Linked DNA regions of Mus musculus. The main gene of each other region encodes a partner of the protein of the gene in region 2 in a complex. Links are inferred from orthologs where the notes say so. Each region holds a gene or a part of one and is shown on either strand. Other genes may lie near its edges.

Evidence for each region.
Region 1: Thoc6 (region 2) and Sarnp share a complex: the UniProt entries of both Homo sapiens proteins name them as parts of the transcription/export (TREX) complex. The link is inferred for Mus musculus from reciprocal best matches to the Homo sapiens genes THOC6 and SARNP.
Region 3: the proteins of Thoc6 (region 2) and Thoc7 are in contact, whole or in part, in a cryo-EM structure (PDB 7APK), measured with the Homo sapiens proteins. The link is inferred for Mus musculus from reciprocal best matches to the Homo sapiens genes THOC6 and THOC7. Residues at the interface, in NP_001334633.1 of Homo sapiens: Asp229, Trp232, His245, Thr252, Gln268, Asp269, Gln284, Leu285, Ser286; in NP_079351.2 of Homo sapiens: Lys110, Arg113, Lys114, Gln117, Glu118, Ala121, Leu122, Val125.
Region 4: Thoc6 (region 2) and Chtop share a complex: the UniProt entries of both Homo sapiens proteins name them as parts of the transcription/export (TREX) complex. The link is inferred for Mus musculus from reciprocal best matches to the Homo sapiens genes THOC6 and CHTOP.

Annotation. Positions count from the first base shown.
Region 1 is NC_000076.6:128,845,173-128,849,263, reverse strand, and holds part of Sarnp (SAP domain-containing ribonucleoprotein), read right to left. Parts: intron 2,733-4,091; coding exon 2,681-2,732; intron 1,028-2,680; coding exon 954-1,027; intron 504-953; coding exon 475-503; intron 1-474. UniProt on the Homo sapiens protein: Binds both single-stranded and double-stranded DNA with higher affinity for the single-stranded form. Specifically binds to scaffold/matrix attachment region DNA. Also binds single-stranded RNA. Enhances RNA unwinding activity of DDX39A.
Region 2 is NC_000083.6:23,670,518-23,675,695, forward strand, and holds the start of Thoc6 (THO complex subunit 6 homolog), read right to left. Parts: upstream 3,361-5,178; 5' UTR 3,036-3,360; coding exon 2,997-3,035; intron 391-2,996; coding exon 275-390; intron 189-274; coding exon 124-188; intron 36-123; coding exon 1-35. Other genes in the region: Hcfc1r1 (host cell factor C1 regulator 1), read left to right, coding at 3,466-3,551, 4,018-4,158, 4,367-4,502. UniProt on the Homo sapiens protein: Component of the THO subcomplex of the TREX complex which is thought to couple mRNA transcription, processing and nuclear export, and which specifically associates with spliced mRNA and not with unspliced pre-mRNA.
Region 3 is NC_000080.6:13,951,314-13,955,404, forward strand, and holds part of Thoc7 (THO complex subunit 7 homolog), read right to left. Parts: intron 3,344-4,091; coding exon 3,226-3,343; intron 2,226-3,225; coding exon 2,098-2,225; intron 1,850-2,097; coding exon 1,763-1,849; intron 1-1,762. UniProt on the Homo sapiens protein: Component of the THO subcomplex of the TREX complex which is thought to couple mRNA transcription, processing and nuclear export, and which specifically associates with spliced mRNA and not with unspliced pre-mRNA.
Region 4 is NC_000069.6:90,502,999-90,507,089, reverse strand, and holds part of Chtop (chromatin target of PRMT1 protein), read left to right. Parts: exon of another isoform or gene 1-828; coding exon 829-982; intron 983-3,807; coding exon 3,808-3,994; intron 3,995-4,091. UniProt on the Homo sapiens protein: Plays an important role in the ligand-dependent activation of estrogen receptor target genes. May play a role in the silencing of fetal globin genes.

The DNA of each region.
Region 1 (4,091 bases), on a different chromosome or scaffold from region 2:
ACACTTAACCAGTTAATACTGTATTGGATACATGTTTTTTTTTCCAATTTACTGATCAATATATATGGTGGTAACACAAGCCTCATGGCTAAGTCTTTAAGTATATCAGAGGTTACTTCTTGATAAATTCTTAAAAACAAAATTGTGAAGTTAAATACAGTCTCCTTCACTTTAATACTATGTTAGCTCAGAGCACTAAAAAAGTACACATAGTTTTATGCTAGTAAGACACAAAAATAAATGAACAAGGTACTAAAGATTTCTCAGAAGTCCTAAAAAAGAAACCCAATGGTGCGATCTCCTCCCCATAACTTCAGGACGTTCTCTCGATTATTCATGAGGTCTGAAGGGTACAAATGCAGAGCCTCTTAAGGGCTTCTAGAGCCAACAAAGTTATCTAATTTGGAGGAATGAAATCTATAGTCAGAAAAAAACCCAAAGTAAACTTTCTCAGAAGAACCTCTGTATTCTCACCTTTTGTTGGAACTGAAGAAATTCCAAACCTGTAAGAAGAAAAAACAAGCTAAATTTTAGGAAGCTGTTCACACCCTTAGTTGTCTGTGTCCGTGTCAAGGGTGCATGACACTTCTTTCTTGTGATCTCAAACTTTGCAATCATTAGCTAATTCTAACAACCCCATGAAAGAGGTTCAGTTTACTCTCCTTCTCACCAACAGTCCAGGAGTCCACTAAACGAACTCTTCAGACTCAGGAGCAGCTGCCAGTTCCTGACTTTTACCTATCATAAAAACCCTGACCAAAGATGGCAAAACTCAGTGAAAGCTATAACATCCAAATCAGCAGAAATGTCCTGAGTATGACCCAAACTGTATTCATTAAGTTCAATGAAAACACTTCTACTGAAAACCAACAACTATAACAAGAAACAAAGATCTGACCCCCTACACCACCATAACATTTCTATCTTGTATCCAAACAGGTAGAAGCACTCACCTAGCCGCCCGGGCAGCCTTCTTACTCTCCAGGCTTACAGGTACATTGAATCGTTCAGCCCTCTTCTGCATTCTCTAAGTGATATTAAATGAAAAAATTAAAACTGTAATTTCTTGTTTAAAAAAAAAATTGGTTATGGTCATTTCTTAAGATCTAACGGAAATACTGACAACTTTAGACCATATCAGGTAGCAGCCATTCTAAGGCTTAACACAACAATTGTTTCTAGAAAGCAATCAATCAATTAATCTCTCTCTCTCCCCGTATTCACATTCTCAAAAACAAAAAGAATAAAATCCATATTCTACACAAACCCCAAAAGTTCTATCTTGTTTGAAAAAGTGTATCTTGGGGGGGGATAGTATATCAAAGGAGCATATTGGTTCCAGTACAGGTAATCTAAAAACACCACCACCACCACCACCACCACCATCACTTCCTGCCTGAATTCTAAAAGAAGTGAATAAATCTCAACTATAAGCCAGGCATAGAGGTACACTCCCAGCATTCAAAAAGCAGAAGCTGGTGGATCTCTGAGTTCGAGGCCAGCCTGGTCTACACAGTGAGTTCCAGAACAGCCAGAGCTACACAGAGAAACCCTGTATAAAAACAACAACAACCCCTCTACCTTGAAAGTACAAAACTGAACACAAGATCTCAAATGAAACCTGATTTCAAACATCTTGAGATAGAATCCAAAGAAATTTCACTCTCACCAGCTAACAACTAACAACTTAAAGGAGTATCTGCCATTGCTATTTTTCCAAAGTACACACAATCCTCTCAAACTCTAATCCTATACCTATAGACTTATTAAGTTACTATTAAGGCTACAGTGGTATATGTAATCTATGACAGCTTAAAGATAACAACTCACTATGCCAGTCCAAATATTTTCCTGAGTTGGTGGAGAAAGAAACATCAATTGTCAATATTCCCCTAATTCCCTTAAATAATTTGTCTATGAATAAATTATTTACATGGATCAAACTCAGGCTTTAGCCACAGAGATCTTTACCCAGAGTGCCAACTTAACAGCCCTAAATGAAAATTTTACATAATGATGATGACAGAGAAAAGGTTAAAAACAGGAACAGCCAGGCATGGTGGCACATACCTAGAATCCTAACACCCGAGATGCTGAAGTACAAAGATTTTGTTTGGGGCCAACCTGAGCTACAAAGTAAATTGCTATTCTAAGGAACAAAAAATAAATATAAAAATGAGAACTCAGTAGTTGAAAGTGCAGGCTGTGCAAGTCTGATAACAGGAGCCCATGTAAAGGCAGAATGTGCTAGTATACAGCTATAAACCAAGTTTTCCTGTGGCAAGATGGGAGGTTGTCATCTTCTGGAAGCTCATGGGCCAGCTAGCCTGGTGTACACATCACAGCACTGGAAACAAGAGTCCTGACTAAGTTCAGCAAGATAGTTCAGTGAGTAATGTTCTTTAATGCCAAGCCAGACAACCTAAGTTTTATCTCTGCAACGCACATGCTAGAAGAAAAACCAATTCCCCCAAGTTGTCCTCTGACCTACACAAGCGCACTCGCACACAAACACGGCTCCCCCATATATAAATAAAATGTAATTTTAAAAAATGTTTTTAAAGGAGAGACCTCTACCTCAACAAAGTGAAGGCAGTCCTCTATCCACACATATACCATGGCATTTATGCATTCACAGCCCCACCCACACCTCAATTAAAATTTAAAAAAGAATACTTACTTCAGTCTGAGGTATCCCAGATGTAATCTTTACCACCTTCTTTTCCGATGCCCTAAGAAGACAGATTTTTAAAAGTCAGAAAACTGCTATCTTAACCCAAAGCATTAGAAATGTGCAAGAATCACCTGAGTTATATCCTCTGCCCCACATGTGTCTACCACCCCTTAATCCAAAGAAACATGAAGTCCATAACAAGTCTGACTCCTTGAACTGTCATCAACTGAGAAGAAAAATTAAAATAAAACTAAGTTATTTTAACTGAAGTTCGAGACCATAATCAGCAAAGAAGTCAGGCTAAAAATACAGGGATGAAGGGACACACACATAAGTCATTTCATTTGCTTTTAGACACTTTATAGTTACTTTTGAACTAAGAACTGTATCTCCAACCTCCAATTATATACAAACTCAATTTTTATCACAATATTTAACTAGCGCTGAACCAGCCCTGATTTCCTTCTTTTATAAGTCCCTATTGCTCCCGTGGGATTGTAGCTCTAGCTGAAACCGTCAAAGCAGAACAAATAAAAATGCCACAGGAAGTGGGTGGGAGAAGAAAGGCTGAATTAGGAAAACATGGCGAGTTACTGGTCAAAAGGCTTAAGAGAAAACAAAAGAGGGGGACCGCAGGGGCAGGAGACAAAGTTCGGAAGTCCCCAGGATAAATGGAAGGGCATTAACTCTCCAACAAACAACTCCCATAAAACTGCGGGTCATAACCAGTCTCATTAAGGTCCCTTATTTAGAGACATGGGCAGCTTTTGTTCCAATATCCCAAACACTTTTCCCATTTGATGCCCTGAAAGGTAGTAATGGTTTAATGACATTTTCAGAGGAAGCAATTCTGGAACCTGATTCTCCTCCATCTTTTTGTTGGAAGTCCTTAGACTAACAGGCAAGCAAAGAATGCCCCCTGCTGACCATAAGGAAGTCCTACAATATTTGTTTTGGCTCAGGAGAAAAAAAAACTTAAAACAAGATAGAGAAGTATATTTACACATAACTTCAGGCGTAAGATGATGTAAAGAGATTTCCTTTTGGATATACAAGGGATTCTAATCAGCCTTGGAATATTCAGACTGTTTGCTAACTCTCCATTTTTTTTTATTGCTGTTGTCTGAAACATGGCCCCTTTCATTCAGCCAAAGCTATCTTCAAACTCCTAACTCTCCTTCCTCCACTTCTCTAATGCTGAGATTACAGGTGTGCACTACTATACAATCCCCTACCTTTTTTATCTTTTTAATGCTGGGTGTCACCTTATAACCCTGGCAGGCCTGTAAATTCCTATATAGAACAGATGGCCTTGAACTCTACTTGCCTCTGCTTCCTAAGTGTTGGGATTAAAAGAATGGGCACTGCCAGACATGGTAGCACTCACATTTAAGTCCTATATTTGAGAGGCAGAGAC
Region 2 (5,178 bases):
TGTGGAGACCATGCTGTAGACAGGCCCGTCATGGGCTAGAGAGACACAGAAAACTCTCATTAGCCCCTGTGAGCCCTTCTCTCTCCTGAGGTCACCTGAACCACTCTCAACAGCTATACCCACCGTGGAAGACCACCACCGGTTTTTTGCTTTCTTCTTTGGCCTCTGAACTTAAGGCAGCAGACAAACTGAAAGAGAGGTAGGGAGCCAAGTCAAAGCCAAGGAGGCTCAAGTGCCAGGGCTCCTGTGTGGTAGGAATCAGGGTTGAGGGTACCTGAAGATGGCAATCTGCCCGTAATTGTTGCCAGCTGCCAGAAACTTCCCGCAGGGGGAGACACTCTGGGAAAAGATGGTCATGTGCAGTCGCTGCAGGGCCTGAAATACCTCAGCCTGTGGAAAAGGGTGATCAAGAGAGTCTAAGAAGTCTGGGGCCACCTCCTACAGACTTCTGCTTACCCACCCCACCCCCACCCCCACCCCCGCCCAGGCTTCTCAGCCCATCTCAGCCAGGATGAGAGGCATCAGCCCATACAAAGTGACTCCAGGAAGAGAGTGGAAAAAAGAACCGAGGAGCCACAGCTTGCCGGCGGTGGTGGCGCAAGCCTTTAATCCCAGCACTTGGGAGGCAGAGGCAGGAGGATTTCTGAGTTCGAGGCCAGCCTGGTCTACAAAGTGAGTTCCAGGACAGCCAGGGCTATACAGAGAAACCCTGTCTCAAAAAAAAAAAAAAAAACCAAAAACAAAACCTAAGACTTTGAGCAAGACCAAGCCTCCTCCCATTGGCTGAACAGACAGATGGCACTCACAAGAAATTCTGTCATGATTAGGTAAACTAACAAATCTTGAGAGCACTGAAGCCAGAGGGAGTTGTATAGAATGTAACCCCAGCACATGAGAGTTGGAGGCAGGGAAACTCACTGGTAACTCAAGGTTATGCCCAGCTAGACAGTGAATTCAAAGGCAGCCTGGGCTACATGAGACAGTCTCAAGTACACACTAAGGATGGAATTGAATTGGTAGAGTGCTTGCTTAGCACAGCACACTGCATAAAGCAAGCACACACATGTAGCCTGTGATCCCAGCACTCTGAAGGTACAAGCAGAAGGACACATTCCACTACGTGACAAACCTCAGGCCAGCCTGAAATATCTCAGACCCTATCTCAAAAATCTAAGTGACTCAAAATAATCTTTAAAAAATGGGGGTGCGGGGGAGGAGGTCTGGAAGATGGCTCAGCAGGGAAGTGTGCGCCACTCTTGCAGAGGATCCCCAAAGCACCCACATGGCAGATCACAACCACCTGCACCTCAGTTCCAGGAGGGCCCAGCCCCCTCCCTCTACTGCACCTCTCTCTCCTTTCTCCCCCTCTCCCCTCCCCTTTTCTCTCTGTCTCTCTCTTTCTACCCCCACCCCTCAGAAAAAGGTTCTCACCAGGAACCCTCTCTGGCCCAGAACTCACTATGTAGATTAGGCTGGTCCCAGAGAGATCTTCTTGCTTCTGTCTTGTGCATGAGTGTACATGCATGTGTGTGTGTGTGCATGTACATGCGTGCGTGTGTGCGAGTGTATGTGCAGTGTCGAGTGTTGGACCTCCTGGAACTGGATTACAAGCAGCTGTAAGCCCACTCCTATATGGGTACTAGGAGCTGAACTTGGTTTCTTTGGAAGAGTAGCAAGTGCTGGGCCATTTCTCCACTCCCCTGTGATACCCTTTCTGGCCTCTAAGGGTACCATAGCACACATACAACATGTAAGCAAAACACTTACATACATAAAACAATGAGAAAACTTTACAAGGAAATAAGTAAGCCAAGTGTGGTGGCATGCCTTTAATCTGTTCCGACAATTGAGAGGAGGCAGTTAGGTAAATCTCTGAGTTCCTGGCCAGTTTGATGTACATATATGGGCAATGGTGACACATGCCTTTAATCCCAGCACTTGGGAGGCAGAAGCAGGCAGATCTCTGTAAATTTGAGGCCAAACTGGTCTACAGAGCAAGTTCCAGGACAGCCAAGGCCACACAGAGAAACCCTGTCTCAAAATGTGTGTGTGTGTGTGTGTGTGTGTGTGTGTGTGTGTGTGTACGAGCAAGCACAGTGGTTCTTGGGGCTGAGGGTAACTGCTCATGGTAGACCATGCTCTTTTCTTCCTTTTTAAGATTTACTTTACTGATTTTAATTATTTGTATTTTGTATAAGTGTGTGAGGGAAGTATATACAAGTACGTCCACAGGGGCCAGAGGATTGGCTCCCCTGTAGCTGGAATTAACAGGCAATTACAAGCTTTGGAACTTGAGTGCTGGCACCCAGCTCAGATCCTCCACTCTCTCTCCATACCCAAAAACCTATTCTTACTCAAAGCTCAGCGTTTGAGCACCAGCATTGTAGATATTGGGCTTTGCAGCACACCCAATAGCCTGGAGCACTCAGTGGAGGTGAAGGCAGGAAGAACAGAAGTTCAAGGACATTCTCCAGTATATAACAAAGTTCAAGACTTACGAGACTGTCTCACACCAGTAAGCAGTGGGCTGAGCTGTAACTAAATAATAGAGCACATTCTTATGAAGACCAAGACCCTGGGTTTAAAGGGGGAGGGGCACCTCATTTACAATTACGATGAACTTTTTTTTTTTTTTTTTGAGTCAGGGTCTAACTATATAGCATTGGATGACATGGAATTCACTAAGTAGCAGGCTGGTTTCTAACTCACAAGAGATATGTCTCCCTCTGCCTTCCCAGTGCTAGGATCGTAAATGTGCCACCACCTCCAACGGCGCAAATTTTTTTAAGTGGCTCTATTATCCCGCACAGGAAAATGTACCAACATCTAATCCTTCAGTCACTATTAGATCTCAAGGTTCCGGATCACTTTTCGTGGGCTCAGGGTACAAGTCCCACAAATCACCTATGAACACTGGGTATCCTGGAACACTCCAGGGGTAGATGTCAGAGCAAGACTACAAACCCCAGAAGGCACTGTGCATACACTCGACTCACCTGACCCAGAGGCACCGCGAGCGGTGCGGCATGCTCCATCTTGAGAACTACAAGTCCCAGAGGGCTCTACGTGTGACACAATCTCTCGACGCACGACACAACCTCTCGATTCCGGACGTGCCTGATGGTGGCTCTTCTCGTTACGCCCCAAGACCTAGCACTGCCTGTCGCCCAGCAACTAAGGCGGCAGGTCCGTGCTGTCTCGAACCACAGAAACCTAGGAGAACTACACGAAGCACCCTTATGCTAAAAAGCGCCCAGAACTATCCAGCCACGCCGGATCCCCTCCCCCACCGCGCCGACCTGTCCCGCCTTCTAACCTCTAACCTGATTCCTGTCTTCCGCGCCTGCGTAAAACGTCTCCAGTGCGCACGCCGGTAGGCCCGCCCCTCGCGCTGTACCACGCCCTCAAAGGCTCCGCCTCTGCTGCTTGAATCCCACCCCTCTATCTGCAGGACCCTGAGCCGTAATGATCCTGCAACAGCCCCTGGAGCGAGGTCCCCCAAGTCGGGACCCACGGGCCACCACTGGGGTAACTCGCGGCCTAAACGCCAGGTGTGTAATTGGTCCCTGAGTGGGCTGGACGAGCGGAGGGCAGGAGTTTTGGCTGGGGGATCCAGGGCTGGTCAGTAGGGGGATCCTGGAAAGTGGGGAGGCGATTCAGGAAACCGTGGTGCTTGAGCTTGTGTTGAAGCAGGGAAGCCAAGGTCAAGATTTCCAAGGTAACCTGTGTATAGCCTGGGAGAGGAAGGTGGCTTAGGCCACACAAGACAAGGCTGATTCTGGGAACCTGGTTTACCCTGTAGACTCAGGTGGACAGATCTTTGGGAAGGGGCAAAGAGAGTGGACTACACCTGGCGCTACTTCCCAGCTCCCTTCTCAGAGGAGCTGTGCCAGTGACCATGGAGAGCCCTGGAGAAGGAACTTCTAAGTGTAGGGGCGGATGGGGCTTCCAAGATTCACCTTTGGTCCTCATCAGTTTGCCTCCACTCTCAACATCCCTGCCTCTATTCTTCTCCAGTCTTTCCCCCAGGGAACCTTTGCACAAGCAGTTCCTGTCTGAGGAGAACATGGCCACCCATTTCTCCCGACTCAGCCTACATAATGACCACCCCTACTGCAGCCCCCCTGTGACTTTTCCCGAAGCCCTGCCACCACTCAGGTAGGCACCTCCCCTTGAGGGCCTTCTAGAGGATCACATTCGGTCCTCAGAGCCCCTCCTCACTCTCTGCCTCATCGTGCTATTTTTAGCTTCTAGCCAACTTGTGCTGTTTTCCATCTTTGGCTCCAGGCGACCTGGACCTGGTAGGAGGTGGCACTGCCAAGCCAGCCTTCTGCCCTGTTCTTTCAATCTTTTTTTCTTCTTTTAGGAGCCCTTGCCCAGAGCTGCTTCTCTGGCGCTATCCCGGGAGCCTGATTCCTGAAGCCCTCAGGCTGCTGAGGCTGGGGGATACCCCCAGTCCCTACTACCCTGCGTCCCCAGCTGGGGATATCGTGGAGCTCTGAGTATTGATGGCCTGTGTCCCTCCCTATCTTCTTTCTGACAACAAAGACCAGCAACTCCCAGAAAGGGATGAAGTCCTTCTGCAAACCTGGCCACCAGGACCTTCCCTCTGACAAGAGGACACTAGCTCGGTGGAACCCTCAGTGAAAGGCAGCCTGGGAAAGGGAAAATGTTACCCCATTAGTGAATAAAGACCTGTGAGCAGTTGAAGATTTCTCAGCAGCCTTTGGGGAGGGTGGGGTACTGGATGCTGGGGTTTCCTCCTCAAAATCTTCCCTGGAAAATCGGTGAGGGCAAGCCAGGTCCTGGCAGGCTGAGCTCCAGGCATTGAGAATGTGTGAGTCACAGCCTCACCCCCGCCCCCGCAGTGGCCGACTGGCTCCCTCCCTCCAGTTCTGGGGAGTCAAGTTAGGGATCAGGCCATATCTTAAAGTTAAAGATTCTTTTATTAATAAGTCTCCCTCCCCTCCAAACATTATCCCCACAATAAATATCACCCCCCTTGGGAGATGGTTGTTTCCGTGTGTACTGGGGCCAGCCCTCCCAGAGGGCCAGCCCCCTTAGTGTTAAGAACAGGTCTGTCAATCTGACCCACTCCTAGGGCTAAAACTCAGGGAGTGGCATTATAGCCCCTCCGAGTGGGTGGGACCCAGTGTTGTGTCTGCCCCTCAAGTCAGC
Region 3 (4,091 bases), on a different chromosome or scaffold from region 2:
TTATCAAAAAGAAATGTGTAAATGAAAATAACTCTTATTCACTTTCTTAAGGAAATGAGAATAATGTGGTCTTTGCACATGCCTTTGATCCCAGCACTTGTGAGGCAGAGGCCACTGGATCTGTTCGCTCCAGGCTAGCCTGATCTAAATAAATAGCAAGTTTTAGGACAGCCAGGAAAAATTACACAGAAACATCCTGTCTTGAAAAAGACCAAAAAACAAAGCAAAAGCAAGAAAACAAACCAAAGCAAAGCAAATCCCTCAATTCAGTCATAAGTATGTCATAATGACCTCATGTCCCAAGCAGGGGTCCTCACTCTCACTTCCGGTGTTCCAGTCATGTGACAGAATGAGAAGTGGGCAGCAGTGCACACAAGACTTAGGATCACCATCAAATGACTGATTCAAAAGTTCTTAACTTCCTCACACCCTCGTCAAAACAAACGAAGAAAATACATCTTTCTGGACCAGTTTCATAAATCTTAGATTCTATGAATCTAAGCTATAAAACCTCACATTTATCAAATAACAGCATTTTCTATTTCTGTTTAGTTTTTCACAATACTGTCATGGTTATTCTGTCTGTTTGTCTGTCTTCCTTTCTCTTTCATCTGTCTACCTATTTAATTTAGAGCTAAGTTTCTACTAGACCCAATTATGATACTCACTGATTGATTGATTGATGAGAGGTAGGTTTCCACCGAACCCAGGCTGACCTAGAATCTGTAACCTGCATGCCTTAGCCAAGTGATGGCAGTTCAAGGATGTGCCATAACAAACACTTCAAACACTGCTCTTTATCTTTGCCCAATTCATGTAATAGGCGCAATATTCCTACTATTAATTTCCACTTGGCAGTGGTGGCGCATGCCTTTAATCCCAGCACTTGGGAGGCAGAGGCAGGTGGATTTTTGAGTTCGAGGCCAGCCTGGTCTACAGAGTGATTCCAGGACAGCCAGGGCTACAGAGAAACCCTGTCTCAGAAAACCAAAAAAAAAAAAAAAAATCCAGGGCTAGAGAGATGGCTCAGTAGTTAAGAGGATATACTAATGTGTTACAGAACCCAATTTAGTTTTCAGCACTCATGTGTAGTTCACAACTGCCTCAAATCCAGGGATGAGATGGCCTCCATGGGCACCTGCTCTCCGCTGTACAGAGACACATGTATGACATTAAAATTACATATGTTTATTTTATTTTATATATCTGTGTGTTGGAGGGCTATGGCACAGTGAGGGACTCACTTCTCTTCTTCTACCACGTGGGTCTTAGGGCTTAAGCTCAGGGCGTCACGCTTGGTGGCAAGTGTTCTTGCCCACTGGGCCAACTTGCTGTCTCTTCACTTTAACTTTTATTAGGTAATTCTGTAGATAACATTTGTTTGCTTTGTGAATAATAAAAAGTTAAATTTCTTTTCCATTTTCTTTTTCTGAAAGTAGTTTCATTAAACTAGCAAATAAACACCTCAGTCTGTCATATTGTTCACATTTGGAGATTAACTGTAACACTGCTTAGGAAAAAAATCTATAGATAGTAAAAAATACTGAAATATTCTTGGATAAACAATAAAACTCATCAGAATAAAATCTTTTTCATCACACCTTGCCTTCTCTATGTTAAGTAACAGAGATCTAAGTATAAGTGTAATTGTATTTTCTGTAAACTGATTCATGTTGCAGAATTTACTTTTCAATATTAAAAACTTTATGTAACTTGAAATCAGGAATAAAATATCTGCAACCTAAATCCTTCAAATTCTTACCTTGTCGATTTTTTCGTATTCGTTTTGCTTGAAGAATCTGCTTTTTACACTCAGCAATTTTTTCATGTGCTCCAGCAATACTACATTCTATTTTTAAAAAAGATAGTTATAATAACATATATAATCTGTGCTTTTAAATAGACATTCCACTGATAACACAATAGACAATGGCATTCTAAAAATATCTACAACACGAAGTGCTGCATGTTATTATTCAACACTGTGGCTGCTGACAGCTGACTCTTAATTACTGATATTTTACTTTAATCCACATATTGTTATCAGATAGCTTTAAACCACAAAAATACAATTCCAGAAAGAATTACTATGTTTACCTATTTCTTTGTATATTTTTTCATAATTTTCCATTTCTCTGAGATTCATATCATATACCAGCAATGTTTTGCCCATTGAAAATTCACACTGGGACAGAGTGCTCAGCATGCGTTGGTACTGGCTATACCTATGAAAAAGAAAAAGGGAATCAAAAGGAATTGTACACTAAACCAAGTTCTGACAAAATTGCTTAACTTAGAACAGCTTAGAACATCTACTCTTACTATTTTCTTTGCTAGAATGCTGTAAGTGAATTTATAAGTTGTTCTGGTTACAAAGGCAAAATGAGACTACTGTGCTCATCTCATCTAAGCATTCGTCTGCATCTTAAATCCAACTATATTAAACCCCAACTATATTTTGACTAAGAGTTTCTTCAGAATTCTGTTCTCATCATTTTCATACTTAAGCAGAAAGTAAATCCAGCAAAATTAGTATAAAATTAGTATGTAATTATTAGAATGTGTGATGGTTTGTATATTCTCTGACCAGGGAGTGGCACCATCTGGAGGTGTGGCCTGGTTGGAATAGGTGTGTCACTGTGGGTGTGGGCTTAATATTCTCATGCTAGTTGCCTGGAAGTCAGTCTTCCACTAGCAGCCTTTGGATGAAGACATAGAACTCTCAGCTCCTCCTGCACCATGCCTGCCTGGATGCTGCCATGCTCCCACCTTGATGATAATGATCTGAACCTCTGAACCTGTAAGCCAGCCCCAATTAAATGTTGTTTTTATAAGACTTGCCTTGGTCATGGTGTCTGTGCACAGCAGTAAAACCCTAACTAATACAGTATGTAATTATTAGTATATAATTATTTTGCAGCAACTTAAATTTAACTTAACAAAGAAAAAACCTTCCTTTGCTAAAAGTAATCAAATTATTAAGCCTTCATTTCTTCTTTTACTAATGTCCTATCTGCATATTATACAAACATAAAGGAGACCTCCAAATAGAAGAACAGAAAAAACAAAAAAAAAAAAAACAAAAACAAACAAATAAATAAACCAAACTTCTGATCAGTCTAGAGGTGGCCGCACTGGACAGATAAGGTAAATTGAACTATTTAACATGGCCTTAATAAAGTTCCACCAGGATACTGATACAGAAGCGTCAGTGGAATAAAGTACCCTTCCTCTTGGGATCCAGAGTTGCACCATTTAATGAAGCTTTTCACGAGGAGATTAATTCTCCGATCATCCCCAGCACCATCTCCATCAATCAGAAGACGTTTCCGTATAACTTCGTCTGGAGGAAAAAAGATGAATGAGAATTAAAACGAATATTTGGTTCTGAGCAACTCTCAAGACAACAGTATATAACTACTCATTTGCTCAATGAAAAGAAAATTACTGAAAAATAAATACATTTAATGCCATCAGTTGAGGTGAACACAAAAATGATAAATTTTACGTGCATCTTGACACAATTAAAAATCTTTCTTCTATTTTTCTCTTCAAAGAAAAGTGATTGTCCAAGGTATATCTGCCTGTCCTAGGGGCTGAGGTCTTAGGTAAAACTCTACCCTCACAATTGGCATTCTATGGGTTGTTGAGAGGAAATTTTCAGGTATATCAGAAAGGCTAAGTCAATAATTGTTAAGAGAACTACTTTTGAAGCAAAAAAAGAAAAAAAAATGAAAAGAAGAAAAAAAAGCTGTCTAAAGTAAAGGAAGCCAGAACTGTGCAGATCTTCAGCTAAGTAAGGCACTGACAGAAAGAACTGAGAAAGTTTCCTTCCATGTAGTATCAAGTTACAAAAAAGAGTAACAGGGCAGAGAAAAAGGAAAAGATTCATGAAGTAACACAATTTCCTTGTTAAACACTCCAAAACAACACTGTCTCATCCTTTCTGAGAGCCAGTGCAGGCTGACCTGCAGTTCACTGTGCAGCCTCTGCTGCCACAAGATGGGATAACAGGTATGAGCCTGACTTCCGGGTCTCATTTTTTACACCAATGCAAAGAGAAAATAGAACATAAAAGTAGTGCAAAATGA
Region 4 (4,091 bases), on a different chromosome or scaffold from region 2:
CCATTTCACTTTCTTCCCATTCTGCTTTTTAGTTTGTTTTGTTTTGAAATCTTTCATCAGCTGTGTGTTTACTTCTATTAAACTTAATCATAACAGGAATGATAGAATAATGTCCTCTTAGGCTCTTAAGCGACTTAACTAATTTAACTTTCTCAGAAGTCCTGAGTCAGAAAGAGTGGTTATTTGTATTTAAAGGCAGTTTTTGTTTCTGAGAATTTCATTTATTTGGTGTCTTTCACCATTTTATTATGTTGTTGCTAGAACTCCCAAGGCATTTAATTTAGTGCCTGTGTTTGCTTCAGAAGCACATGTGCTTCTCTGTTCATCTTTTAAGATGTGATACATTAATTTCCTGTATTCATGTGTTACTAAGTAACATGTTAGAATGTAATAAACTCCCATAACTCATGAGTCTGTTATTTCAGTGGACTTTGAAGGTGCTCTGATCCTTCCTCCTGTTTGTCCTTTGAATGAACTTTCACTCTCCAAAAGTGTCGGCATTTCTGTTTGTCTTTGTAACTGCATCTCTGTTTCTTGTCATCATATTTGCTTACTGCGTGTATTTCATGCTTTCCACTTCTCTTAAGAGCTGTTACCTGAGCCCTTGTTATCGCTTCTAATTGTGCTGCCCTTGGCTGCATTTCTGAGTTTCTGGTTCTTGCAAGTTTGTGGAAACAGAGGAGTCTTTAACCCACATCAGCCTTGATCCAAATGTGCCACTTTAAAGTTCGTGGGATCTGGAGCTCCTGGTCTAGCAAGCCATGAGAATGCCAATAAGTGTTTTATAATAAAGCTTTATTTAAACACCCGTTTTGTTCGACCTTGAAGCTTTACTAATATGCTGAAGAACAAACAGCCGATGCCAGTGAATATTCGGGCTTCGATGCAGCAGCAGCAGCAGCTAGCCAGTGCCAGAAACAGAAGACTGGCCCAGCAGATGGAGAATAGACCCTCTGTCCAGGCAGCATTAAAACTTAAGCAGGTGAGAGAATGAGTCCTGCCATCTGCGTCAGCCCACCAAGGCTGTCAGGGTATAATGGATGAGTACAAGATGGCTCAGGGCAAAAGCTGAAACTGATGTTCAAAGAATTTCAGTTTGGACAGGTACCAACTAAATAAATAACTTAATAACTTTCTCTTTTAGGGAGTTTGACACCTCTGTAGCCTGCGTTATCAATGAAGATTAATTGATTAGTATTTTCTGGCTCTTGCTCTTAAGAATAATTTCATTTATTCATTCATTTATTTTCATCTTTTTATCTCTTTTGTTTGGTCTAACAGTGTTGTTCAATGGTAGAGCACTTGCCTAGCAAGCACAAGGTCCCAGGTTCACTTCTTAACACTTAACCAAAAAACAAGAAAGAAGTTCTGTTGTAGTTAGCTTTGCTGTGTGTACAAATGATTTACAAACTAGTTTAATCTTATTCTTCTGAATAAGATTCTAATTGGCCTTAGTCTGAGGTTTTCAGTACTATAAAAACAGCACCTAGGTTCATTAGCATAGCAGAACAAGCATATAGGATAATCAAGTGTCAGTTCTCTTTCACATTTCCAAAATAAGAAGTAATCCTGATCAGGCCTGAAATAAAACCTGCTCTTTATCATTTGTAGACTTTATATGCAAGTCCGGAAAGTGGCTGTGGAAGGATATGTCCAAGCTGTGGCTGGGCGTCCAGAGGGCGGTGCCATGCAACTGTAAGGATTTTAACTGGTAGCACTGCATGGCTGTGCATAGAGTCAGCACTTATAACACCCACCCCCTACTCCGAACTGTTGGGCTCACTGACCGAAAATAAGCAAGGCTTTCTGCTTTTTTCCCTTTCAGCCTTGAAGTAGTTAAGGGTTTGGTTTGGTTTGGTTTTTTTCCTGACTCAGGAGAACAACAAGCCGTAGGCCCACATTTTCCAAGAATAAATAAGAGTCATAAAGTCTCCAATTACACTGTGACAGAGGCCCTTTCAATAGGCTAACTTGTAAACCAGTGATATCCACCAGCTTCTGTTTTGGTGGGATGCTCTCAATTTTTTTCAGTAGTCATTTGTCCTGTCAGAAGGACATCCAAGTGTGGCTAGTGCAGTTGAGGATCTAAATTTTGTTTTGAATTTTGTTTTTTTTTGTTAGGTTTTCCCTTATGTTAAAGCCAAACAAAGGACATACAGTTGTAATCTCAGCAAATAGGGGCATTATGAGCTCAAGACCAACACAAATTTTGTTTAGTTTTTTGTTATTATTGTTTAGTGGTTTTGAGACTTATGTAACTACAATTGGCCTAGAACTCTAAATGCAGACCACAGTGTCTTCAAACTCAGAAATAGACCTGCTTTTGTCTCCAGGGTACTGGGAGAAAAGGTCAGAGCTACTCTACCAGAACCAAAAACTTTTTTTTAAGTAGCCATATATAATTAGTGGTTACATTGTTATACAACACAGCTCTAGAGTAAAAACTGAGTCATACTGTCAGTATGTATAAGTGTCAGTATGTATAAGTGTCAGGATGAAGATGAACTCTACAGTACTATACAGTTCTTCCCTAAAGCAAAGGACTCAGGAAAATGAGTATAGTCAGTAATTGAGCATGAGAATGCAGTTTGACTTCATAATTGTGTGCTGGGGTCTGGAGGCACGGTTCAGTGGTAAAGTATTTATCTACCATGGGCATGAGTTCATGCCCAGCACCACAAAAAAATAATTATTGTGCTAATTGGGAGTAATAAAACAGGCCTTTAGGCTTGGTTGTATCTACCTGTATTAGATGTCTAATGTTAAGATCCTTTCTCCTCAAATTGGAAGCAGTTTAAAAGTTTTGTGCTGGAAAATTGATAATGCCACAACATCCTTTTCAGAGCTCTTAATTGAAGGAAATATATATGCAGAGATGTATGTGCCATTAGAATGTGCTGGAAGTTGATTGTGTGCAAGAGCAGAATTACTGGGGCCTTGATTGTATTTGAGGCTGTATTGTCTCCTCTTCTGAAGAAATCGAATTCTCTGAAATGTCATCTTCAGAATCTTTTGGAGAAACTATTGAAAATTGTTATCTTTAGTGTGTCTTTGTTCTTTGTGTGGTGGCCCTTTGTGGCTAACAGTTTGCTTTCATTTTAACATGAATTTGGCTGGCTTTCTATGAAGATAAAATTGAATTGTATGTTTAAGAAGACCATTGTACTGGCTTAAGGAAACTGTTGGCAAGGGGAGATGTGGAATTTACAGAATTTTTAAAAAGTGTAAGGAAAGGAATGTTGACATTTTTGTGTTTATTTGCATCTTAAGGTTTTAAAAAAGGACCGTCTGGAGATAGATACTCAAAGGAAAACCTCAACACACTGGCCTCTTTAACTGAGAAGTCAATCTTGTCCTTTGAGTCTCAAGAATTCAAGTGAACTTGTAATTTAAGTTTACCCAGAATGTGACGCACTTCCTATGGTGTGTGAGTAAGCCTTTGCAAACAGTGTAGTCCATAGGCAGATATGGGTAAAGTCACATCATTGTTAACCTATGGCTCAGAAGCAGCGAGTTTGCAGCTACTGCTGTATTATTTGAATAGCCAAATTAGTAAGGTTATCTGTGCTGGCTCTGCTGTTGTAGACGATATTAAAGCTTCTTAGAGCCTTTATTCTGGCTCAGGATTCTGCTTTTATCCATGTTCTGAGGAAAAGTCTTTGATTTGGGATCCTTACGTTACCCACAACAGGTTTATACCTTCCACCCCGAGTGTCTGACTTGCCTCTTTTTGTCCTGTACTTTAAATTGCCAAATCCCATGGAATTGCTTTGTTGATCTCAATCCTCTTAACACCTTTTCTTTCAGAAGAGCTTAAAGCAGCGCCTGGGTAAGAGTAATATCCAGGCACGGTTAGGCCGACCCATAGGTGCCCTGGCCAGGGGAGCAATTGGAGGAAGAGGCCTACCCATAATCCAGAGAGGCTTGCCCCGAGGAGGACTACGTGGGGGACGTGCTACCAGAACCCTGCTTAGGGGTGGGATGTCGCTCCGAGGTCAGTGTGTCTGTGTAGCTAATAATGGTTGGGCTCTATCCTCCTCCCCTTTTTCTTGGACTGCTTACCGACACATTTGTTTAGCATTTTTAATCCT